2 linked regions of the Arabidopsis thaliana genome follow. The protein of the gene in region 1 purifies or fractionates together with the protein of each later gene. This does not show direct contact. Each region holds a gene or a part of one and is shown on either strand. Other genes may lie near its edges.

Region 1 (4,340 bases):
TCCCTGAACGCACTCTCAGAAGACGGCAGCCTGGTAACGATGCCGCCGTGGGTGAACCCGTGGTTACTCCTGGCTATGGCTGTCTCATTCGGGCTCCACTTTGTGATACTGTACGTGCCATTCCTGGCTCAGGTATTTGGGATAGTGCCACTGAGCTTGAACGAGTGGCTGCTGGTACTGGCTGTTTCGCTTCCAGTGATTCTTATAGACGAAGTGCTCAAGTTTGTAGGAAGGTGTACGAGTGGCTACCGCTACTCACCTCGCACTCTTTCCACGAAGCAAAAGGAGGAGTAAGAAATAAATCAAAAGCATTATATTATTAGACTCTTAGTTTTAGCTGAAATTAGCGTTGTTACTTACCTCGGCGTTGGTTATTTAATTTTCTAAAACGATAATTTTTGGTTTGATAAAAATGTTCTAACTTGCTTCTCATTTGGTTCACGGACAAAGAGCCTGAAATAGATGAATGTTTCAACAAAGCCCTTCATTTTTATGCTTCCTAAGTTATGTGCTAGATAGATCTCTCTTTCTGCAATATTGACTGCTTCCAAATCAATATAATTCATGGATGAAATATTGATGAATGTTTCACCCAAGCCTTCATTGTTGGGTGATTTGATTTTGTGTACTCAGATCAGAGTAAAGATACATTCTCCTTCACGTGAGACAGAGTAATCTAGTTGTTTTCTGTTTAGTTCCCCTTCCTGCAATATTGACTGCTTCCAAAGTTCCAAGTCTATAGATTATAAAAAACGAACTCATAGCAGAATTCAACTGTAATTTATCAATTATCATTAATTGCTTAGTTGATTGAATCCTGATCTTACGAGTACCAATGAAGATAGGGTGAAATGTAGCTCTGTTTCTCGATTCAACATGAATCTTCCCAGAAGCTTTGGGATTACAGTTAAAAATGGTAAAAAACCAGGAGACAAGATATCGAGTAAATTGTTCATCCTCATTAGATTTTCTTAGCTTTAAGTTTGCAAAGATTTTCAACTACACCGCATTGGCTAACAACGACATCACAATAGAAAACAAAAGCAGTAGCTAACACTCCTAGATTTACTTTAGACTAATTCAAACCATTTAACACAGATCTCAGAAACAAGAAGAAATCCCCAAACTTGCATAAACCCTAATCCCCCAAATCGGATTAACCTCCGAAACCGTAGAGAGTACGACCTTGCCTCTTCAAAGCGTAGACAACATCCATGGCGGTCACCGTCTTCCTTCTAGCGTGCTCAGTGTAAGTAACGGCGTCACGGATGACATTCTCGAGGAAGATCTTGAGGACACCTCTGGTCTCTTCGTAGATGAGACCACTGATACGCTTGACACCACCTCTACGAGCAAGACGACGAATGGCAGGCTTGGTGATTCCTTGAATGTTATCCCTCAGAACCTTCCTGTGCCTCTTCGCTCCTCCCTTTCCCAATCCTTTTCCTCCCTTTCCTCTTCCCGACATCACTTCACAGTTTTACTTGATACCCAAAGATCTGTGACTGTGAAGAACAGAAGAAAAATTATTCAGTGAATGGTAACGAACAGAAACGCTAGATTTCCAAATCAATCAATTGAATTGACGATCGAACAATAAACCAGATGGAGAAGAAGAAGATACTTTTAAGATGATTTGGAGAGAGGATCAATTGAATTTGACGGATATGAAGTGGCTAACTAATGTCTTAATATATAAAACTGCGTTGATCCGTGTGATTTTTCATATCAACCGTTGATTACTGATCCAATGGTTATACATCGTTAACAATACTTGACGGATCGATGACGTGGATTGCTCCCAATTTAATTGAAAGATGTTGTTTTATTGAAAAACAAAACAAAAACAGCATTCGTCTTCCAATAATTTGCAAGTGTTGGGTCTTATTAGGCCTTAAAAGAGAAAATGAAACCTGGCCCAATAATAGTATCAATACTAACAGAGCTAGTATTGGGCCCTAAAAGTTTCCGTCTCCGTAAACCTGTTATTCTCGGAGAAACGTTGAGAGAGGGTTTTCCATTCTCTGTGGCCGTCACCGTCGCCGTGAAATAGCTCTCCTCTCTCTATCTCCGGTGAGTTCTTATTTATTCCTCTGCGAGATGTGCTTTTCTGTGTACACGATCTCTCACTTCTTCGGAAGCCTGAAATATTTTGTACGACTTTCATTAACCATTTACCATTTTGTTATCCAATCTCGATTTCTCTTTCTGATTGTTGTTGATGATCAGATTATATAACTGCAAGCTCAAAGGAATTGTTTGTTGTTAAAATGTTTCTTACGCGATTTGTCGGGAGGAGATTCTTGGCGGCTGCATCGGCGCGATCGGAGTCCACTACAGCAGCAGCAGCTGCCTCGACGATTCGGACGCCAACAAATCCACTCGAAGAGTTCTTTGAGTTCGACAGAAGCCAAGACGAAGATAAACCTGTTGTCTATGGTAGCTTCTCTCTGTTTTCTGCCACTCATCTGCTTAATACTAGTTTACTAGTGGGATTGTTCATAGAATGTACAGTGAAGAAGTAAAGTAATTCACTGTAGCTTAGGACTGTAGTCAAGCTTGCTAATCGTTCGTTTTTCTTCTTAACTTTGTTATCCTCCCATGGAGTTTTTGGAATTAGGATTGTTTAGTTTTGTTAATGGGGGAAAATTTGTAAACTTCTGGTGTTAGGTCGAGGTTGGAAAGCTTCAGAGCTGCGTCTCAAGTCATGGGATGATCTTCAGAAGCTGTGGTACGTTCTTCTCAAAGAGAAAAACATGTTGATGACTCAGCGTCAGATGCTTCAGGCTCAGAACATGCAGTTTCCTAACCCTGAACGCATTCCAAAGGTAATCGATACTAATTTGGCTTTGACTCTCTATCCAATTAAGTTGTTGACAAAATAATAGATACTACGAGAAGAAACATGAATCCTTTCTTCAAGGAATGGTTATGTTCTTTGTTACCGAGGGAGATTATGATTATTTTTTAATGAATGTCAACTTTGTTTGCCTCTCACAAATATAGGTGAGGAGATCAATGTGCCGCATTAAGCATGTGCTGACCGAGAGAGCGATTGAAGAACCAGATTCTAGAAGATCAGCCGAGATGAAGAGAATGGTAAATGGTATGTGATCCCATTGGCTCTTGTTTTGGCAACCTAGCAGTAAGCACGAGTCAATCCGCAGAGGTGTTGAGTTTTTCGGAGTAAGAAATAACGCATAGCTTTCAAGACTTTGGAACTGGTCCAATGATTGTGACTGTAGTAGTGTCGGCAGTAGAAAAACGTTTGGTTGGTATCTGTACGCACATTTCTGTAACTTATGGTTGATGTTTCTTTTTGAGACACATGTTGGTCAGTGTTGATTCAGAGCTTTGTCTTTCTCTTAAAACCAACATAAACGGTAATGGCAAGGCAACGACACTGATGAAGTAGATTTTGGCAGATGAAAGATTTGGTGGTTTAGTCGAGTCCTATATGGGCTATATGGAGGAGACTGAAGGAATCAGAACTCAGTGTTCGTTCTCAAACTCAACTGATTATTGTGACTAACGACACAGCAAAAATTAAAATAAAATCTGATTATTTGATTATAAAAGAAAAGAATCATATTGTCGAAACTGAATAACCAAAATGATTAAACCACCAAAACCATAGATTGCGCTAAATTATTTGCTTGCGTCTTGCGATAATTAAACTTAGCCACCCTTATTGGGCCCTAAAGCTAAATGGGGCCTGAAATATGTTAGAATCATGCGTCTCCTTAAAACCTTTTTTTTTTTGTTTTAATTGTCGGAAAATCAGTAGAGAGAGGCTTTCGATTAATTTTACTTTGTGGCCGCCGTGACCTTTTTCTTAGCGTCGCTCTCTGTCACCTTCAAGTTCACTATCTCCGGTGAGTGCTTTCTTCTTCGTGTCTTTTCCGCTTCTAGATTTGGTGTACCGACAACCACTGAGCTCAATTAATCGAGTCAAAACGGAGAGATAGTTGCTCTGTTGGGAATTCATCAATTTTGGTTAGCATTGGGTTATCGTGAATGTTTGTTTCTATGAATTAGTAAATTGGTAGACAGTATTTGTAGGAAAACGTAAGGATTGAAGATGAAACTTTTATTTAGCTACTCTTTGGCTGCTTACTTAGATATTCAAACGTTGTTGGACCAAACCATAATCTCTGTTCCAAAATCTCAACATGAATTAAATTCTTTTCGTTCTCAGTTACTATGGTTTAGTTTATCTGAGTATCTTAATGTGGTATTCAAATTCAAGGGTTAGTCTCTGAACTTTCATGTTTGTTTTCCTTTTTTCACAGACTTATCTTCTGTCAAGTACTGAACAAGAATCATGGAGGAGATCACCA
Region 2 (3,979 bases), on another chromosome or scaffold:
AGCACCTCGCCGTTTCGGTACGACTCTTGCAAGAAATACTTGGCAGAGTCGGATTACGACGAACTGTGGGTGGTCCTAAAGAAGCTGGAGCTTAACGACGATTGTGATTTCGAAACCTCTTTCGAGATTTACGAATTCAATCGCGAGACTAACGAATGGACAAAGGTGATGAGCTTGAGAGGAAAAGCTTTGTTCTTGAGCCCTCAAGGTAGATGTATAGCTGTTTTAGCAGGTGAGAGAGGATTTTTCAAAGACAACTCAGTTTATTTCATTGATGGTGATGATCCAAGTGTAGGAGGATCAGGGCCTCAGAATCTGAGCGTTTTTGAATGGGAGAGTAAGCAAATCATGAAAATTTACCAGCCAAGATCTTGGAATTGTCAGATGTTTTGGGTCACACCAACAGACGTTCCTCAGTGATGAATGACTGATGCATTGTAGAATTTGTAGTTTGCATAGTATAGGTTTTGTATTTCAAATTTCAATTCTTTGATACATTACAATTGTCATCATACATTTTGGTTCTTCATCTGTAACATATATATTAAGTTATGATTATTTCAGCATCTATCTTTCTCTCACTACTTTCATTAATCAAATTGAAAGGTAACTTTTTTGAGAATCAACTTTCACATTCTCAATCTTGAAACATTGGCCACAAAAAAAAAAAAAAACCGATAGATTTGAGATTGACAGAATGAGAGCAAAACATACACAAGTATCCAGTGTATACAAAAAACATAAAGAGGCACCAAACACACTGATACCAACATTTCTTATCAAGCGTCTAGGACTAGTTTACTTCCTGGACACCTTTAGAGAGAACTTAAACATAAGCCGCCTACAATATCCAAGCGGATCTTATCGAACTGACGGTAGAAGAGCTTACCATCTTATGAAAGTACTCTCAAGACATGTTGGATGAATCTGTTGCAGGACTCGAATGACTGACAACGAGAGGCGGGCGCAAAGCTTTGTGGTTGGCTTCTGCTTCTTTACGAGCATTGTACATTTCTTCTGTTTCAACAACAACCATCCTTTTAACCTACATAGAGGCAAAACCAACCATCACAATTTTGAAATCTAGGATTTTATGACAAATGAGAATAGATAAAAAGATAAAGGAAGAGAACCTGATCAATCATTCCCCTAATGGATGAATTGTTTGAATGCAAAACAGTACGATGACATCTACGAAGTCCCATAGCTTCAAGTGTTCGTCTGTGAAGCTTCCTTGTTCCAGGGAGACCTCTTACTAAGGTTATGTACAAGCTCTGGCTCCATTCAATAGGCACTTGTGCTTTGAAAGCTCTAAAACCACTCATTCTTTTTTTTTTTTGTCTCCTTTATCACTCAATCTCTCTGTAACCATTAACAAAATCATAATCAAGCAATCACACAGAATTCACCGTAGAAATCAATAGATACAATAAACGAAGACGATTGATAACATGAATCATGAGAGAGTGAATCATCACGAATTGAAACCAAATCAGATCGATCAATTCAGAAGAAAAGAGGAGCTGCATAACGCGAGATTTCAATTAGGTGTTTGAGATAGAAATGGATGGTTTTCGAGTACCTTGAGGAAACAGAGACGGGAGAAGTCCGGTGAAAGAGATCGTCGACGAGTGTAGTCAAGACGGCGAACAGAGCTCGGAAAATCTTTGAGATTCGCGTTTAAGGGTTTTAAGCTTTTAGCGGAACAATGGTTAAACGACAGCGTTTTGTAGATTAGCTTAATTATTTGGGCTTTATCTGGGCCCAATTATTGGCTCCTTTACCTTTTTATAATTTGTTCAAAAATTACTAGATTGGTTTCATTTTTTTTACATCAATCTTTAGATTTATTAATCTTGCAAAAACAATTTATTTCAGAAAGTGTATGATGAACAGTCAAATTCCACTGCTCTCATCACTAGTTCTAACCTCTAAATTGGTAAAAGCTATTTGCTAGGTAGGTGTATTATTTAAGGTTTTTCTACCTTCTATAAGTTCAATAGCTTTAAATCTTGGGGTTGATCAATATTATTACTAATGAGTAATGATGCATTATTAAAAAGAGAAAATTATCAAAGTAAATTATATTTATACAAAAGTAGTAGCTAAATTACATAACTAAAAGAAATCGGTAAACTTACAAATATTGGTAGACAAGAAAAAGAGAGAAAAAGGGCAACCGTTCTTCTATCCATTACTCGATTTATTATACAAAGTACATGAAGCCTATAATATTACATACATGATACATGATGCATATTATTACATACTACTACTTTACAAGTGATATCTAACAAATGCACATACGTTATATTCCTTTAGCCGTGTTGATAGGCAAACCATCATCATCATCCTCAGGTCTCTTCTTATAATTATAGTCTTTCTTATCTAAAAACGCCTCTTTCACCTTCTCCACATCCGCCTCAGAATCACCGGAGACGTTTACCGCCACCGCAGCTCCGTCAAAAGCCTTCTCAACTGTTTGGCTAGCAACACCTTGTCTTGTGAACTCCTCCGCCGTCGAAGAAGCTCTTCCTTCTTCCCTCCCTCCACTCGCACTTCCTCTCTACATATTAAGAAAACATCTCCAAAAATCTTTGTATATATATATAGTTAATCTATTTCATGAAAACGTAGGAATATCAGAATATATACCTTGAGATAAAAAGAGTAAATACATGATGTTGTTATATTAGGCTTGGAGATTGATTTTGGGTTCACATAATTTCTCAACATTTTTTCTTCGGAGGTCTCTTATTTTTGCAGCTTAGATTAGATCAAGTACCATAGATGAATTTTCCTATAGCAGTTAATTGAGACTTTTGATGTCTCATCAACGGAGGTTATGATTATGATGCCACGTGTGTGTGATGCGCCGTCGTAGCCAAAAGATGACATGTTTCCCAGGGTTAGTCACGACGTCATGCAATTTCCTTTGTAGTTAAATCCAATATACGAAGATTTCTATTTCATATTCTACAGTTTCATACATAACTTTACATGATCGATTTGACAAAATCGATGTCCTAATGACATTAACTATAAGTCGAACCGCTGTCGTTTTTCTTGTGGATTTTATTGTGTACATGTATTGAATTCTTATAAACATTTTGATGAGAGAGATTGGGGGTTGGATCAGGATGAGATTATATCAATTATCATTATATAAATATATGTTTTTAATAATATCTTATGATCGAGAGTACATATAGAATAAGAGATCAATCAATTGATGACCGGACTGGAGATGGGAGAATTAGAATAATTGTTGCAGCAACAAAATATTTTAACAGCCCCGTGAATTTTAGCGCTTTCACAATACCCTCCGCCTCTCATCATGCATCTTGTATTGCATCCTATTGTGCTTTTACATCCTTCCGTACATTTATCTGAAATTAGTCCTATACGATTTTATAAATAAAAAATTCATCAACAAAAAATTTATAAGCAAAAATGGTCAGTTTAATATTGAAAACTGTAGTTTTTTAAGAACAATTTTTTTAAAAAAAATATATAATTTGTATAACAAATAAATGTGTTACCAGAAATCATAGGTATGGTGAGGAGAGCAAACACCATCAACGTAAGTAATCGATGAGATGCAACCATTTTGGTTGTTATTTGTTATTCTTTCAAGATGATTCTATACCTGCTTCTCAAAACCTATTAAAAGCGAATTTCAAAGTTATTGTTATAACAAAAACAAAAATCTAGTAACATATTCTAAATATTTTATATTATTTTTGACTTACCTTTTGTATTTGTAATATTTCAGTACTTATTGAGAATGATTTGTGGTGGTCTTGGATGTACATTTATATAGACATACGTATATACATATATATATATATATGTAAATAATAAATCTTCCATATTATTCAAGGATTTTTTCTTCTTTTTTATAGTCTTATTTGGGTCAGATAATAATTTTAGTCAAAATGTTTCATTATTTATTCTTATCTGTCATTGGGATTATATT

Evidence for each region.
Region 2: the proteins of AT1G07830 (region 1) and AT5G55140 fractionate together in Arabidopsis thaliana (co-fractionation; one large-scale study listed by BioGRID). This does not show direct contact.

Annotation. Positions count from the first base shown.
Region 1 is NC_003070.9:2,420,279-2,424,618, forward strand, and holds AT1G07830 (ribosomal protein L29 family protein), read left to right. Parts: upstream 1-1,847; 5' UTR 1,848-2,073; intron 2,074-2,229; 5' UTR 2,230-2,270; coding exon 2,271-2,439; intron 2,440-2,670; coding exon 2,671-2,828; intron 2,829-3,006; coding exon 3,007-3,114; 3' UTR 3,115-3,525; downstream 3,526-4,340. Other genes in the region: ECA1 (ER-type Ca2+-ATPase 1), read left to right, coding at 1-294; AT1G07820 (Histone superfamily protein), read right to left, coding at 1,157-1,468; AT1G07840 (Sas10/Utp3/C1D family), read left to right, coding at 4,325-4,340.
Region 2 is NC_003076.8:22,378,716-22,382,694, reverse strand, and holds AT5G55140 (ribosomal protein L30 family protein), read right to left. Parts: upstream 1,700-3,979; 5' UTR 1,583-1,699; intron 1,363-1,582; 5' UTR 1,326-1,362; coding exon 1,134-1,325; intron 1,046-1,133; coding exon 908-1,045; 3' UTR 501-907; downstream 1-500. Other genes in the region: AT5G55150 (F-box SKIP23-like protein (DUF295)), read left to right, coding at 1-420; AT5G55135 (uncharacterized protein), read right to left, coding at 2,309-2,566, 2,656-2,736; AT5G55132 (Defensin-like (DEFL) family protein), read right to left, coding at 3,226-3,401, 3,543-3,609.